2 linked regions of the Rattus norvegicus genome follow. The protein of the gene in region 1 interacts with the protein of each later gene in a biochemical or structural test. Links are inferred from orthologs where the notes say so. Each region holds a gene or a part of one and is shown on either strand. Other genes may lie near its edges.

Evidence for each region.
Region 2: the proteins of Lrrk1 (region 1) and Chgb form a complex in vitro, tested with the Homo sapiens proteins (2 studies listed by BioGRID and IntAct, with this or other methods). The link is inferred for Rattus norvegicus from reciprocal best matches to the Homo sapiens genes LRRK1 and CHGB.

The regions. Positions count from the first base shown.
Region 1 is NC_086019.1:129,378,831-129,386,781, forward strand, and holds the start of Lrrk1 (leucine-rich repeat serine/threonine-protein kinase 1), read right to left. Parts: upstream 4,301-7,951; coding exon 4,204-4,300; intron 1-4,203.
Region 2 is NC_086021.1:140,504,247-140,511,880, reverse strand, and holds the end of Chgb (secretogranin-1 precursor), read right to left. Parts: intron 4,561-7,634; coding exon 2,801-4,560; intron 2,151-2,800; coding exon 2,073-2,150; 3' UTR 1,824-2,072; downstream 1-1,823. UniProt on the Homo sapiens protein: Secretogranin-1 is a neuroendocrine secretory granule protein, which may be the precursor for other biologically active peptides.

The DNA.
Region 1 (7,951 bases):
GGCACCCTGAGGGCCCTGCCCTGCCACCTCCCACCTAGCACCACTAACCCCCATAGGTGTGGGCAACCTGCAACCCCCACTTATCTCTGTGCGTGCTCACAGATCTTAAGTCCAGACTAGTTTCTGGCAGGACATCCCTCAGCGTCATTCTTGCCATTTTGTGTTCAAATTCCAACCTCAAAATTGTCACCATCGCACAATCCTGTATTTACAACAACAAGACCACAGCTCTGGGGGCCTTTAAATACCTCCGAGTCTTTCAAATGTTCAGTGTCTCAGAAGTCAACTAGTTTCCTTTTGGCTCTCCTGAAAGGGCCAGCTAAATGATTTTAAGACACACTTGGCAATGCACCCTTGGATCCTGAATGGTGGATGAGGGCCCAGAAGGTCCAACTTTAGTAGAAACTGGAAAAGCGAACTGAAATCCAAAACCATTCATATTTCTGAAATGCAGCGTCTAAGTAAACTACTGTGTGGTTCTTTCCACAACATCAGAGCTCAGGGACAGCATATGGCTTGAGAAGTATGCTCCCTTTGTATAACGTCAACAAATGTCATTCAGCAGCTAGCATGACAGTCAAATAGAATCTGGACAGATTGCAGGAGAGGGTGCTCTGGTTGGTGAACGATGGATGGAGAGAGAGGCCGAAGGACTCCAGCTTACAAGGGGGTCATGTCCTGAAGAGCTTACTGCGAATGGGAAATGTCTCACATACGCTGAGGAACAGCCCACTGAGCGATACAGCCTTGTGGAAAGTCAATTATTTGACCTGAAACTCTGCTGCCAACTGATAGCTGATGCTCTCTGCTGCTTCTTCGTGTTCCCGGAGAGAACTGGATCAGAAACCAAAAGCCCACTGGGGGTCGGGGGAGTCAGAATGCTAAGCATGGTTCTCACAAAATGGTACCACAGCCACTCCTTCAAGTTTAGGTTTATATGTTACAAGACGAGGGGTCCATTGCTGGAGGATCGAAGGGTTTCATTTTTTAGAAAAACGGCTTCTAGTTGTGGCAAAGTCTGACTCACATGGATCGGGAACCCAAGCAGGGCCATGGAACTTCCTGTCATTCTGCGCAGGAATCTCTGTGCTCACAGGGCCAAGGATGGCTAGACTGGACACCTCTGCTGGCTGCTGAATTCGTGACAAACGGCTTGGGCCCAGGCACGCATGAAGCCTGTTCTCCCCAGCCACACAGGTAATGGGAGGAGAGTGGGGAGGTGGGGGTGGGGCAGTGAGACAGTGGGGATCAAGTGCAGATTAGGGAAGAGGGGAGGTCTGAGGCTTTGAGTAAGCCACCAGCTCTGATTCTGGCCACTCAGAAAGGGGAAAGGGCCTGTAGGAACCCTCCTTAGCCCACACACAGGCAGGGGTGGGAGCTGTTCTTTCCTTGCACCCAGGAAGCCACAGGCTAAGGATTGGTCCACAGACAGCCTGAGGTGAGAAGGAGGTTAAGCACTGTGGGAGCAGAATGTGTTATGAGGACTGCACCTGGAAGACTTGGCCTAAGAAGGAATCAGCAGGGAGAGCCAGGTTTTGGCTTTTAGCAGCGGGGGCATTTAGTTCCCAAAGGAAGGACTGAAGGGATTTGAGTTGCCCTACTGGGCAGAACTAGTTAACAGCAGGATAGAATCCAGAGCATCCACTTCCTAGGAAAACCTCAAATCATTGGCTTGCTAGTCAGTTCCCTATTGCCCGAAGTGAGGCCCCGATCTCAGATTAAGGTAAATGTTACAAGTCTCACTTAGCCCAGGGTCACATAGCCAGCTCTGCTTTGTAGGAATGAAGTGTAGCTCTAGCCACCTGCATGAATTGACCGTGACCCAGCAGACTACCTACCAGCTCACTTAGTAAGACACCACCCACCTGACCCCCGACTGCTTCCGGTAGAGGTTCAGGGTGCCCCTGTACTCTGGTTGGAGAGGGTGGCCCCACTCACCTGTCTAGTACATGCACCCCACACATCCCAGCAAGTGCAACTGCACACAGATCGAAGCATACAGGCTAACAGGTTAGAGGCATTTCCTATTACAATCTATTTCCTGGAAGGCATGATGAGTCCCCACTTGGGCAAACGATGTGGTTATAGTACCATGACAGATAATTAATGTGTATTTTTAAAAGCCAAAGGAGGAGGAGGAAGAGAAGAAGAAGAAGAAGAAGGGAGAGGTGGGGAAGAGGAAGAGGAGGAGGGGGAGGAAGAAGAGGAGGAGGGGGAGGAAGAAGAGGAGGTGGAGAGGGAGGAAGAGGAGGAGGAGGAGGAAGAAGAAGAAGAGGAGGAGGAGAGGGAGGAAGAGGAGGAGGGGGGAGGAAGAAGAGGAGGAGGAGGAGAGGGAGGAAGAGGAGGAGGGGAGGGAGGAAGAAGAGGAGGAGGGGGAGGAAGAAGAAGAGGAGGAGGAGAGGGAGGAAGAGGAGGAGGAGGGGAAGGAAGAAGAGGAGGAGGGGGAAGAAGAGGAGGAGGGGGAGGAAGAGGAGGAGGAGGGGGAGGAAAAGGAGGAGGAGGGGAAGGAAGAGGAGGAGGAGGGGGAAGAAGAAGAGGAGGGGGAGGAAGAAGAAGAGGAGGAGGAGAGGGAGGAAGAGGAGGAGGAGGGGGAGGAAGAAGAGGAGGAGGGGGAAGAAGAGGAGGAGGGGGAGGAAGAAGAAGAGGAGGAGGGGAGGAAGAAGAGGAGGAGGGGAGGAAGAGGAGGAGGGGGAGGAAGAGGAGGAGGAGGGGGAGGAAGAGGAGGAGGGGAGGAAGAGGAGGAGGAGGGGGAGGAAGAGGAGGAGGAGGGGAGGAAGAGGAGGAGGAGGGGGAGGAAGAGGAGGAGGAGGGGAGGAAGAGGAGGAGGAGGGGGAGGAAGAGGAGGAGGAGGGGGAGGAAGAGGAGGAGGAGGGGGAGGAGGAAGAGATCTCAAACACTCATGTAACAACCTGGGATTTGAAGCCCCTCTGGGATGTTCCATCTTCTTTGGTTCATGCTGGGCTGGCAGTTAACGGTGCTTTAAGAGGTAGGTAGCTGTTTCACATCTTTCAGGGACAAGGGCAGGACCCTCACACAAAGATGGGTCTCTTCCAGCACCTCCCCATACCTTCAGCTGTGTAGGAAAGGCTGAATTATCTGGAAGTTTCCTAGCTGATGTACTTTCTCCGGGTGCCTCACCTTAACTGGTAGAGCAGGTTTTTCCACTCTAGCTGGTCTGGGCATAGAAAAGAACGTGTCATGTTTGGCAAAGGAATTTGTCTCGTTCTAGATTCTAGCAGCTCTGGCCTAGCAGAGGTAAGGGCTGGCTGCCTGCTCCTCCTGCCAATCATCTGAAATGCACGAGTCTCTCTAAGATGGCTCCTCCACCTTCTCAGAGCCCCCCTCTGACATCCTCATGAGACTCATGGTGATGCCGCAGTTTGCTCTGTGCTTGCAAATCTATGAGCTGTGAAACCATCCTAAACACATACAAGTCAAGCTAGGTAGGGGCTGTGCAAAAACGCAGGACACCCATGAATGCAAGGCGTAAGATACCATTTCCAAAGAACCCTGGAGTTTAAACTATGTGTTCAGTTAAAGTGTGAGCCTTTTTCTTCAAAACCATTCATGCCAGTATCAAGAATTTGGCCATCTTGAAGCATGTTTTATTCTATACAGGGGTCACCTAAGGCTATCGGGAAACAGATTTTCACATCACAATTCATAACAGTAGCAAAATTACAGTTACGAAGCAGCAACAAAAGTAATTTCATGGTCGGGGGGTCATCACAGCATGAGGAACTGTATTAAAGGGTTGAAACTTGAGGATGGTTGAGAACCACTGCTGTAGTGTGAAACTCAAGTCCTTAACCACAGAGAAACAGACTAAAGGAGCAGGCACATCACCGCCTGTGATGCTGTTGGCGCAGGGAGATACTAGGTGAACCTCTTTTTTATAACTTCTCTTTTTCTCTTCTCAGTTTTTCTCTGGTAAGCAAGCATTTTTATAGTGTAAAAACAAAAAGGAATCCTCGGTTTTTTAAAAAAAAATCCCTTAACTTATATGATGTTAAAATCTCTGAAAGCATAATAAATTTTGTACATGACCTCTCAGTTTTAGGAATTTAAGTGAGAATCCCAAGATATAGAAAAAGCACCAAATAATCCTAATTTTATTTTCTTTGGTTGAAAATACCTGTTCTTAGGGAGCCTAAGCTCCTTATAGACCAAGCACAGCACAGTCCCTGTGGACGTACCACTTACCATTATGGGTCTCCATGGCAGGCCCTGGACACACAACTGATCCTTCTGTCCCCACACACCAGTACATACTGGGTGGTCGCTGTGACACGGCAGCCATCAACCCTCCAGGCAGCAGATCTCCAAAGGAAAGTGTTGCTGTTGTCACCACAACTGCCACTGTGCAGATGGGTTAAGGCACGGACACCTGCTCATGGTGCCGCAGACACACACGCTCGTCCTGGTGGAGAAAGACATCGAGTTAGAAGGCTTTCAGACTCGTCCTCTCTTGCAAGCCCTTGTAGGTGTTCCCCACTGTCATTGGCTTCCCCCCTTCTCTGCACATTTCTCCATAGTCCACATGTCTGAAAGGACAATGACCCCTCCCATCCCACCTTGACACTGGGCCCAGATCTTGTCTCTATGAAAACAAACTAAAAGCTGTCACTGAGCTTCACTGGCTGTGCCCATTTGTCGTTCACTCCACACTTAACCGCTGTCTCTTGCACTGTCTCTGCCAGGCCCTGTATGGGACCCTGATGCCGCCCAAACAGCAAAATTGAGGCTCCCGTTGGGAGGATTAACACTTCAGGTGGGGTAGGGTGGGCGCACGGCTGCTCACGGTGCAAGGCCATCCCTTGCTCAGGACTGATACCTATGGTTGCTCCAAGTGACAGCCAGATAATGGCCCCAAAGAAAAGGAGTCTAGAAGGAGTTGTTACTGGTTGTGACATCAAATGAATCCTGTAAACATTGCCTCTCTCTGAGGGGACATTTGACCATATCTAGAGATATTTTGGGTTGTCACAACTTGGGGGAGGGGGTGTTATAGGCTCATAGTGAGTAAAGGTCAAATGAAGGCATAGTGTTTTTGTGCACGGTGTAAAGGTCACCCATTGTCATTCCAATGCTGATTTCTCTGCCCTCATATCTTGTTTTAATCTGGACACAGTATTATAATGCTTATACCAAGAATCTCCTGTTTCAAGTTTATGTAAACAATTCTTACCAATTAGTCTCTGCCTTGTCAATAAATGCTGATCACCCAATGGCTGGGCAGAAGAGAGAACAGGGCAGGACAGGATGTCCACCAGCCAGAGGAAGGAGAGAGGGAGAGGGGGAGAGAGGGGGGGGAGAGAGGGAGAGAGGGAGAGAGGGAGGTAGAGAAGGAGGGAGGGAGGAGGGAGGAAGGTGGGGAGGGAGGAAGGTGGGGAGAGAGAGAGGCAGAAGGGAGAGAGGGGGAGGGAAGGAGGGAGAGAGGGAGACTCAGAGCAGTGAGTGACTGGAGGAATTGGAGCCATGGAAAAGGGGCCCAAAGAGCCAGATCAATAATAATATCCAAGTATCATGGGGTGGGGCTGGGAGGGAGCCACACTAGCATAGAAAGTAAAGATAGAGCATTTACTGCTCATCTACTGAGGCACAGTTTTCAATAAATATTGGTTTTCCTGTGTGATTATTGGTATAAGGTAAGGAAAAGCAGCTGCTGGATTAATTCACTGCTAACATTTATATTAAGAAGAATTCATTTACAGTCAGAAGTGGGGCTAAAATAACTTGAATTGTGTGGCATGAATTGTCTGGCCACATAGACTTCTAACCAAATTAAGAGTCATCTCCTGAAACTGAATAGATTCTGATCTGAGAGGAAGCACATGCTTGGATTCCTATGGCCCTGAAGGACCTCCGACATGATCCCATGATGCCTTGCTGCTTTCCTGCTTTCCTGAAGAAAGGCCCAGGCCTGCTTAGACCCAGGACAGGAAGGTGCTAGCATATGAAAAAAAAAGGCACAGTCCTGCCAATGTTCCCATAGTCCATCCTTTACATAAGGTGTAGGCCCATAAGCATTTAAGACCCTAAAACTGAGAATGAGGACATAACCAAAACTAGCAATATCAAGAACTAATAATTATATAAATGACACCTCTGATACTATGTCTGGTGTGACTGTCAGGGTGTGGGCTGCTTCCATTAGGTATTGGCAGTGTGACATTTTCTCTTGTTTTCTCACCTGCCAAGAATAGACCTTCACACCTCAGCACCCTGGCAACCTCATAGGGCTACTGGGGGGACTTCACGTAAGACAGAGTTTGAGCATCCACACTCTCCAGCAGGGACAGGACTTGGGAGGTCAGCAGGGTCTCATGCCTCCCTCCCTTCTGATGAACACACTCAGAATATCACCGTGTCCCAGTGTATAGGCAGGTTCTAGAAGCTTCCCTGAAACCGTGTAAGCATTGAACAAGCCACAGGGCAAAGAAGAGCTAAAGGGTGCTTCCAATTTCTCCTTTGAAAGCTTAGGAATGAGGCATCTGCCCTTGGTGGGTGGTGTGTGGGGTGGGGTAGGATAGGGTTGGGGCGGACTCTTTCAGGCAGGGGAAGATGTGGCTAAGAGGGTCCCACATCAGTAGCCTTGCTCCTATAACCCGCACTTCTCTGAACCAGAGGACACATCATCCAAAGAAGTTGAGAAGTCTGGCCCACACAGAGAGGAAAGAAAACAGGAGAGCCAGACAAAGTTCAGACGATTCTCAGAAGCTTCGTAAGTCGTACAACCCAGTTGGAGAGATCAACTTGAGAAAAGAGCTAGGGAGAAGAGCCTCCAAACAGACACCGTTTAAAAACAAGGCTCCAAATTGCACATTAAAAGCCAGAAACTGAGAGTCATAGTTTTCATCTGCTCCCAAACACATTTCTAAAGCCAAGAAACAGACCAGATACATTAAGATCCCCAGTGGTAGAAGTTCCCACTCAGAGCAGAAATGGCTTGGCAATATAATGTGTCTAGGCGACACACACACACACACACACACACACACACACACACACACACACACTATAAAATACTTTATGCTACCTCTCACCCAGCATGCTTGGTTCCCCTTTCAGTTTCCTTTTGTAAATCACACCACAGATAGAGGATTCTCTCATAGGGGCAGTTTTTAAATTATCATTTGTATTTTGACTTACACCCTAAGGTAAGTGCTTTAGGATGAGGTAACTGGAGTCACTCCATCTTTGCCCTCACACAGCTCAGTGCTTCCCTTAGGTGCAGAGCAGTGCCACAGACCACCGTGGTAGATTACAAGAGTTTTCATTCTGTACCCTGCAGAAGGCCTCGAGAGGGTTTCTTCAGTCGTTGACAATTTTAATAATGTTTTAAAATGTCACCCATTTCCTCTTGCTAACTCTTCATGCCTGTAAGAGTGAGCAAACCTAAATGATTAATGAGTAACAAGAGGAGGAGTTTCCCATTTGCTCTGAAAAGGCTTTCACTGAGCCATTTCTGTGAAGAGTGAATATCTATGAGTTCATGATGCCAGAGGGGGAAGGAAGACCCTAAAACAAGCCATTGCTACAAGGTTTCTGACCAAAGAGAGCTACATGTGTTTCTACAGAGTTTGGGAAGGACAACCAACACAGGTGTTGAGTGTCTGAGCGAAGCATGCTGGGACAGATCATATTAGCTAGCTCCTTCTTGAGTCAAAACCTGGTGGAGACGGACAGCTTACAGTTGTAGACACCTCTAGTGCTTTCCGCATCCTCTGACCAATATCCGTGCCTACAAAAACGGACGTCAAAATATCATGCAGCTGGAGGCCCAAGAACTATGTTGTTTGAAGCCTCACATGAGTGCAGAAAGTTGGGAGACAGAAATGTTCCACCAGTCTGAACCCACATCTAACTCACGGCTCTTCTTTCATTTATCTGCCACGGTATCTACCGCTATTCACAGGTCACTCCTGACACCATTATGAGAGAGTGAACA
Region 2 (7,634 bases), on another chromosome or scaffold:
TAAATTAGTACATCATTTCTCAACTTAGCAAAGCAGGAGATCCTCTGGCCTTCCTGTGTTAGTAAAGATCACCTATGACCCTCAGACATTTTTACCACCTTCCAGAAAACAGATTTTTACCTGAACAGAAAGCAGTAAAAATAACCCATTGGAAGCTGCTACTGGTCAGAAACGAGATGATTGGTAATTGAGGAAGAAAGGGTTTGTCTGATTGTCTTGGAACAAGAAGCTGGCAAGGTGGTAATAGCAGCAGGTGACATTACCTACATCATCGATTTCCAAGTGGCACAGTACTGTTTCACACAAACTTGTTAGAAATAACCTTGTGAGAAGGATACCTTTATTTTTATGGAACCCGAGAACTAGAACTCGCCACAAGCTGCACAGCTGCTCACACTCAGCAGAGGCAGATCTCTGTCTGCAGAGAAGGTAGAGGTCAAGTATGCGCCGAGGGAGGTACCAGGGATGCTGTCCCAGATGTTCATCTTCCCAATCCAGGGAACTCTTCATCATCAGGGATTCCCTTTCAGCCTGTCCCTTGACAGTCTACCCCCAGAGTTCTCCAGTGTGTAAGAATCTAATTAGTTCTATTTCTCTTGAGATGGCGTTGGCTGGCCTTGATCTCTGAGGCTATTCTCTGGCCTCAGCCTCACAAGTAGCTGCCCATAGACACAGGCTATTGCAGACAGCTCGTAAGGAGATTTGGCTGCATTTCTGTTATGTACTGTCCCCTTCAATGTCCTTTAGTCTTTTTTTGCCTAGATATGGAACCCAGAGCTTTGTATGTGCGAGACAAGCCCTCTATAGTGAGTCATTTCCTTTTTCCCCTTCTTTGCAGAATTTTAAAAGAAATGTTCTGGGCTGATGAAATAGCTCCATGGGTAAGACACTGGCTACGAAGCCAGTCGACCTGATTTTTTAACCTCAGAAAACCAACTTTGTCCTCTGAACCCCTCAACACACAATGAATAAATTAAAAATGTAAGTGATGCATTTTCTTTTTTTTTTTTTTTTTTTTGGTTCTTTTTTTCGGAGCTGGGGACCGAACCCAGGGCCTTGCGCTTCCTAGGCAAGCGCTCTACCACTGAGCTAAATCCCCAACCCTGCATTTTCTTTTAAAATGGGTTCTTCAAGCCTATATGGTCTCTATTAGCCATATTTTATTCTCAATTGTAGGATGAAGTCACAGGTGAGGCAGGCACAAGATAGAAGGAGGCCTGTCACTGGATGAGAAGGAAGGATGGGCAGGAGAGAAGTTTGAAGGAAGAGGAGGAGACTAGGACAGAAAGGTAGAGACAGGAGGGAGAGAGGGAGAAGCCTGTGGCAGGACAATATGGCAGGTGACGTTAAGATTCTGCTCTGTGTATTTACAGGTTGTTATTAATGTTCCTAAGGGATGGATGGTACCAGGCTTTGTATGTTTAAGTGGGCAATTATATCTTATCAATTGGGTCTAAGATTATTGTGTTGTGTGTTCTTTTATGTGATGGTTTGAGTGTAGGAAAGTGTGCAGTGGCAGGAAACAATGGGCCGCTGCGGAGTTGGGATGTGATTCTGCCAAGATATCTAGCAGATATCTTGGGGCACCGCGGTGCGGACCTAGCGGGGTAAAAGACAACAATACTTCTTTTATTTTTATATTTTTACAACAACACTCAATCTCTTTCTGTATATCCTGCAGTATTTTACTTCAGAAACCTTGCCTTTTTTCTATTAAAGACCAACACATTCTAAGTCTATCTTTGAGAATATACTTAGGAGAATGGATTTCAAAACTGTACTCTTCCTAACTAACTCAAAGAAAGCTAAGAACCAAGAAGGGCTTTGTTTCAGGTAAATCTTTTATTGTTTGTGTTTCAAAGACAGTAACACGGTCATTGTCACAGACATGTGGAACATCTATTTTGCAGGAAGAATATGCTACAAGTCACGCTAGTCGCATAGCATTAGCATTCTGGCAAAGATTAGTGATATTTCCAACTGCATCAAACATTTAATAAATAGTAAATTCTGCTTTCTGCCTTTGGGTGAATCAATGCTGTCTTTCAGCGAATGGCTCGTCTCTCCGACTGTCAGCCCCGCTGGCTGAACTTTTCCGCTATTTTCTGCAGTTCCAGATCCATGGCCGCCAAGTTCTCCAGTTCCTTTTTCTGGGAAACAGAAAAGTGGAGCACTGATGTCAAATCATACTACTCCATCTCAGGGAGCTCTAAGGAGAAAGGGGAAACTTAGGTACAGTAGAGGCTGCCCGAGTCAGCCAACATCAGGGGTCTTCAAAGTGGGCTCTCAGAACGAGTGGATTGGGTAACCCAAGCAATTGCCTAGGAATAAGAGTCCCTAGGTCCCATATAAAACTGGGACTGAGAAACTCTGGGGGTCAGAAATCCGTGGGACTCTGATGTACTCTCAAGCTTGAGTGGCATCACCTGACATGATCAAATTAGGTCAAGGCGCTGTTTGGGAGGTGAGCATGCGCACTGGAATCGCCTGGTAGCCGCAAGGTGCTCAAGCACTGAGGTATACTACACACCCAGGCAGCACCGGCCTTCATCTGACAGAAACTCTGGAGATAGATCCCAGATACAGTAGTTTTCCAAGTTCTCTAAATACTATAAAAGAAAAGAGGAGGGCAGCACCCTGGCTGGATGATGACTGGAAATCAACCCTGTTCTGTGACTGGGGCACTCACATTCTCACAGTGAAATTTCCCATCCATCTCTCCCCATTATCAGACATGTTGATGCTAATAACATCAACCTTGATCAACAGTGTAATTCTAAGCAAAAGCCTCAAACCATACCTCTTCCTCGGTCAGAACTCTCTGGTCAGCCCTGTCCTTTTCATCTTCTGCCTCCTGGTGAGGCCCCATCTGCTCCTCTGAATCGTAGAAGTCGGGAAATTCGGCTGCCTTCTTCCTGTAGTGAAGGAGCTGGTCCAGTTCAGCCACTCCATCGTCGTATTGCCTTTTCAAGTCCAAGTGAGGGGCCCTGGCAAAGCTTCTCTTCTCATATCCCCAATTCACATCCTCCGAGAAGGGCCTTTTCTCCCACCAGTCATAGTTGTACTCTGGGAAGAAATTCTTCTCAGTCATTGTCACCCCATTTCCGTCTTCGCCGTCATCATCAAGGAAACTGTCATCTGGGTTGCCTTTTTTCTCAAAGTCGCTATTCTTCCACTGGAGAGGGTCAAAGTACGGGTTGAACAGCGCCCCTAGCCTCTTCCTCTTTTCAGTGGTGGGGTAGGGCGCGTATTGTCTGTCTGGAAAGCTCACTTCCTCCCTGCTTTCTTCCGGTTCTAGCTGCTCTTCCTGCTGCCACCATCTTCCTTGGTCCCCTTCCTCGTCATAGTTGAGGTAGTTTTTCTCCTGTTCCTGCCATTTGCTTTGTGGATACCTTTTTGCCGTATCTACTGGGCTTTCATGAACAGGGTCATGCCCTTCATCCAGGAGCCTTTTTTCTTGTCTGCTGTCAAGAGCAGGATAAGCTCCTGGCTCCCGCCCCCTGCCTCTGTGTTGTCGTCCCTTTGCCCCCTCGTAGCTCCTCTCTTCCTCAGTTTCTTCACTGTGTCTGTTTGCTGTGCTTTCCAGTTCAGAGTCGGGGTGGTTTCTCTTGTACTCCTTTTCCTGGCTCTCCTCACTCCGAGGGCTTGGGGCTCTGACCTCTTCACTTCCTCTGCCCTGGTACTGCAGTCCCTGGGGAGCCTGGAAGCCCGGATAGCTTCTCAATTCTTCCCCATAGTCAGGTTCTTCCTCTGAAGCCCGGTAGTGAGCTAGGTGGTGGCCCCTTTTTTCCCCTAAATTGGCTGTGGCCACATTTGCATCCTTGGACTCCCCAGCAGCATGTTTCCTTTCCTCAGACAGAGGACGACGCCCTTCGTAAGAGGGCTTGTTGGACTGGCTTCTCCAGTGGTGGTGCCTGGGCCTGCGTTTGGTTACTTCTGAGGTTGCGCCTTCCTCGCCTTCCTCGCCTTCCTCGGATTCTTCCTCGCTCTGGTCCTGGTCGGGAAGCTCCTGTGGTTTCTCCTGCCTCCTCGTCTCCTCTCCACTCTCCTGGCTGCTCTGCTCCCTGCTGTGTGTCTTCTCCAGCTCCACGAAGTGTGCCTCTGCTCTGGCCACTGACTCCTCTTTTTTCTTAGCTGAAGCTTCGCTTCTTTTGTTGGAGAAGGCGTTGTGTTTCTCTCCAGATTCTTCAGTGTGTTTCTTCTCCTCACCAGCATCTCCCCTATGCTCTCCCTTTGGATAAATCTTGCCTTCTTCCTCCTCCTCCTCTTTTCCGCCCCTCTCCTCCGAATGGCGTATCTTTGCTTCTTTGGACACTTGTTGGTTGGAGGGATGGAGGCTCTCCTGGTCATCTACTGCCTCTCGACTGTGTCCTCCTCCTCCTGTCCACTCCTCATTGTCTACCTTCGCCTGACCTGGAGAGTCTTCTACTGGAGCCCCTGTTTCCTCCCTACTGGAGGCCCAGCGGCCTACTGAGGCATCAGATGGGTCTCTTAGCAACCGTACTTCAAACTTCGAGTTCTCATTTTCACCTTTCTCTTCACCTTTGACCTCTTTTCCACCTATAATGAAAATATGGGAGTAAGTACAACTGCAAAAATGCTTGAGGGTCAAGTAGCAGCCTCAGTGGTCGCCACAGATCCCGAGGACCCTGGGAAAGAGGTACGCAGTAGAGGATGTGTGGAGTTCTTTGAAAAGTTGATGCTATGGAAACTCTTGGGCTGTGTTTGAATCTAATGAGCTCTCTACATGTTTAAACGTTTTAATAATACCTACCCGGCATCTCTATTTGTAACTGTCAATGGTAAAACTGAAACCCATATGCAACTTTAGGAAAGACTGGAATTTAGAACCGGAAGAACTCTTACAATTCATCCGGTTCCGCCTACTTGTTTTGCAGGTATAAAAGACGTGGAGACTCAGAGTGATATAATTCAGGACTGTTCTTTCCACATTTGAGTAAGGTGGAAAGGTTAGCATTGCACAAATGAATAGTTCTAACTGTAATTTAACTTTAAAAAAATAAGTAGCCAAAATAGGGAATATTAAGATTTAAAGGAGGATTCAAAATTTATTATCTATCAGACATTGTTATCCAGTCAATTGTGTGGACCCTATCCATCAGAGAAATGACAGCTTAAAGTCATTACTGAGCTTAGCTCAGTCTTGGGCTGTGCATTTCACCCTACAGTGGACTGTGAACGTCACAGTGGTCCCACATCATTGTATCAGGTAGTGATGGCAGAGCCCCCCCCCCTGTAAGTTTGTACAGTGAGATAGCCCACTGATGCCCTTCTCAGTATCTCTAAATAATGCATGGCTACACCTTCTGATAAGAATGGAAAAGGTCTCTCTCTCTCTTCGCCCAGGCTCACCCAATCTACATGCTCCTCGGTGCTGAGAGTAAGTTTAAGTATGCTGGGCTGCCTCTGTTTCCTGAGTCAGCAGATGATGAAATCAGTGGCACTTGCTGCTCTCTTCTGTCCTTTCCCAATGTCAATAAGTGCTACATCCTCCCCAAGACACCCTATGAAAAGGATGTGGAGATCACACTGTCTGTGTTGTTAGTTGGAAGGGCTTAGGTTTCAACCTCTCTCACCAAGTTCAGATAGAGACCAGAAGCCAAGGCCACAGAGCCCTACGGGCCAACATCAACACCACCCACTGTGGGAGCCACCAGTTCTTTGTGGCTATGGAGCATCTGAGATGTGGCTTGAGCAAACTGAGACCTGATAGACACACCAGCTACCAAAGACTTCATACAAAAAAAAGAGAGAGAATTATTAAAATAACATTTTTGATAGATTAGGTAATATTACATATATGGAGTGATAAAATACATTAGATAAAATGAGATATACTACTGATGTTAATTTCACTTGCATTTTTTTACTTTTTAAATATGTCCACTGGAAAATTTGAAATTATATTTGTAGTTCATACTATTTTCCTCTCAAACAGCACGGATGGCTCTATTTGTTTTTAGATGGAAGTTTATTATACGTTAATAGGTGGGAGCTTAAGAGAAAACAAGCACAGCAGGAACAGAGCTTATGAGTCATTTTGAACTGATATCTACAAAGGACAAGATTTATCTAGTTTATAAAATATTCAGGAAATCACAGCTGGTTTGTACCTCTCTATTAGAACACAGCTTGACTTGATAATAATGTTCCCATGTCTACAAGGCTGCCGGAATGTCTTTGGACTTCCATATATGGCCATTTGAGTACCCACTCATCTGTCACAGTCCCTGCAGCATGAAAGAGACCATGATGATACTAGGAGGATTCTGAGTTCTATGGCAGTTTGGGCTGCAAGGTGAATGTAAGACTGAGTGACAAACCAAGACCTCGCCCCCCCCAAAAAAAAACAAAACCAAAAAAACCCCCATGGTATTACATGAGGTGCTGGGGCAGGGCTATTTAGTCGAGGACAAGTAAGCAAGAAGGCTTTGGATGGTACCCTTGACTCTCTGTGCCCCTTTGCAAACTCCTGTGGGGAAATACTAATAGATGCTGTGATAGTTTGGGGAGGGAAGGCCTTGGAAGGTTCTGGGCCCTGAGTGGATCCCTCGTAATGAGAGCAAGGTCCTAATAAGAGGACACATGAGAGCCACAGCCTCCCTTCACACAGGAGGGCACAGCGAGAAGATGGCCAGACAGCCAAGACGCGGGACCTTACCTTACCTTGATTGTGTACAGTAGCCACCACAGCTCTGAGAGGTTAATGTATATTGTTTAAGCCTGTGCGACTATGGTATCATCTGTAGCGCTCGCAGCTGATTCAGCCAGGCAAATGCTGATGTCATCTTCAGAGTTTGCAGAAGGACAGCAGAGGCCACATGCTCCTCTGATTTAAGGTGTGAGGTGTCTTAAGTGTGAAGAACAGAAGTGTTTTTATATTTTCCGTGTTAAATGTGTCCTGCCTATAGCAGCTTGTGTCTGGAGCTGAGTGCTTCCTCCTAAATTTAGCTCTAAGCCCAGCAGGTGAGACTGGGGAGGGCTGACTGGCCTTTGAAGTCTTAGTCAATCTGTAACCCCAAAGTGTGACACTTATTCTTGCTGCTGGGTTAAATGGGGAGCATATCTCATCCATCCTGTCGGGCAGAGTTAACCAGATCAACCTTATCAACCTTAGCCAACCCTGGCCAGGAAAATCTTGTACCTGGTAAGAAACTGGACTTCTCTAAGCACCTTTAAACACCTCCCCCAAAAAGAAACACTCAAACCAAAACCAAACCAAACAAACAAAAATCAAAACCTACAGCTCATCCCCTTCCCCCAAATCCCTATTTGCTTACTGAGTATAGGAGACTGGGAGATGAGGCTTGGGGTAGAACACAGGCCGGACAGAACATTCCCTCCATTCAGCCAGGCCTGCAAGTCTGCCTACCAGGTTAGGAGAAAGAAGACTAGGGCCAGGAAAGAGAAAACTACAACAGTACAGGGATGGTGTGGCCCAGAACTGACCTAATTATCAGATGTCACTTTGAACAATCAAAATTTTAAGCAGGATGTGGCAGTGCATACCTTTAATCCCAGTACTTGGGAGACACAGGCAGGTGGATCTCTGTGAGTTCAAAGCCAACCTCCTGAATTCTAGGCTGGCCAGAGCTAGAATGGTGAGATCATGT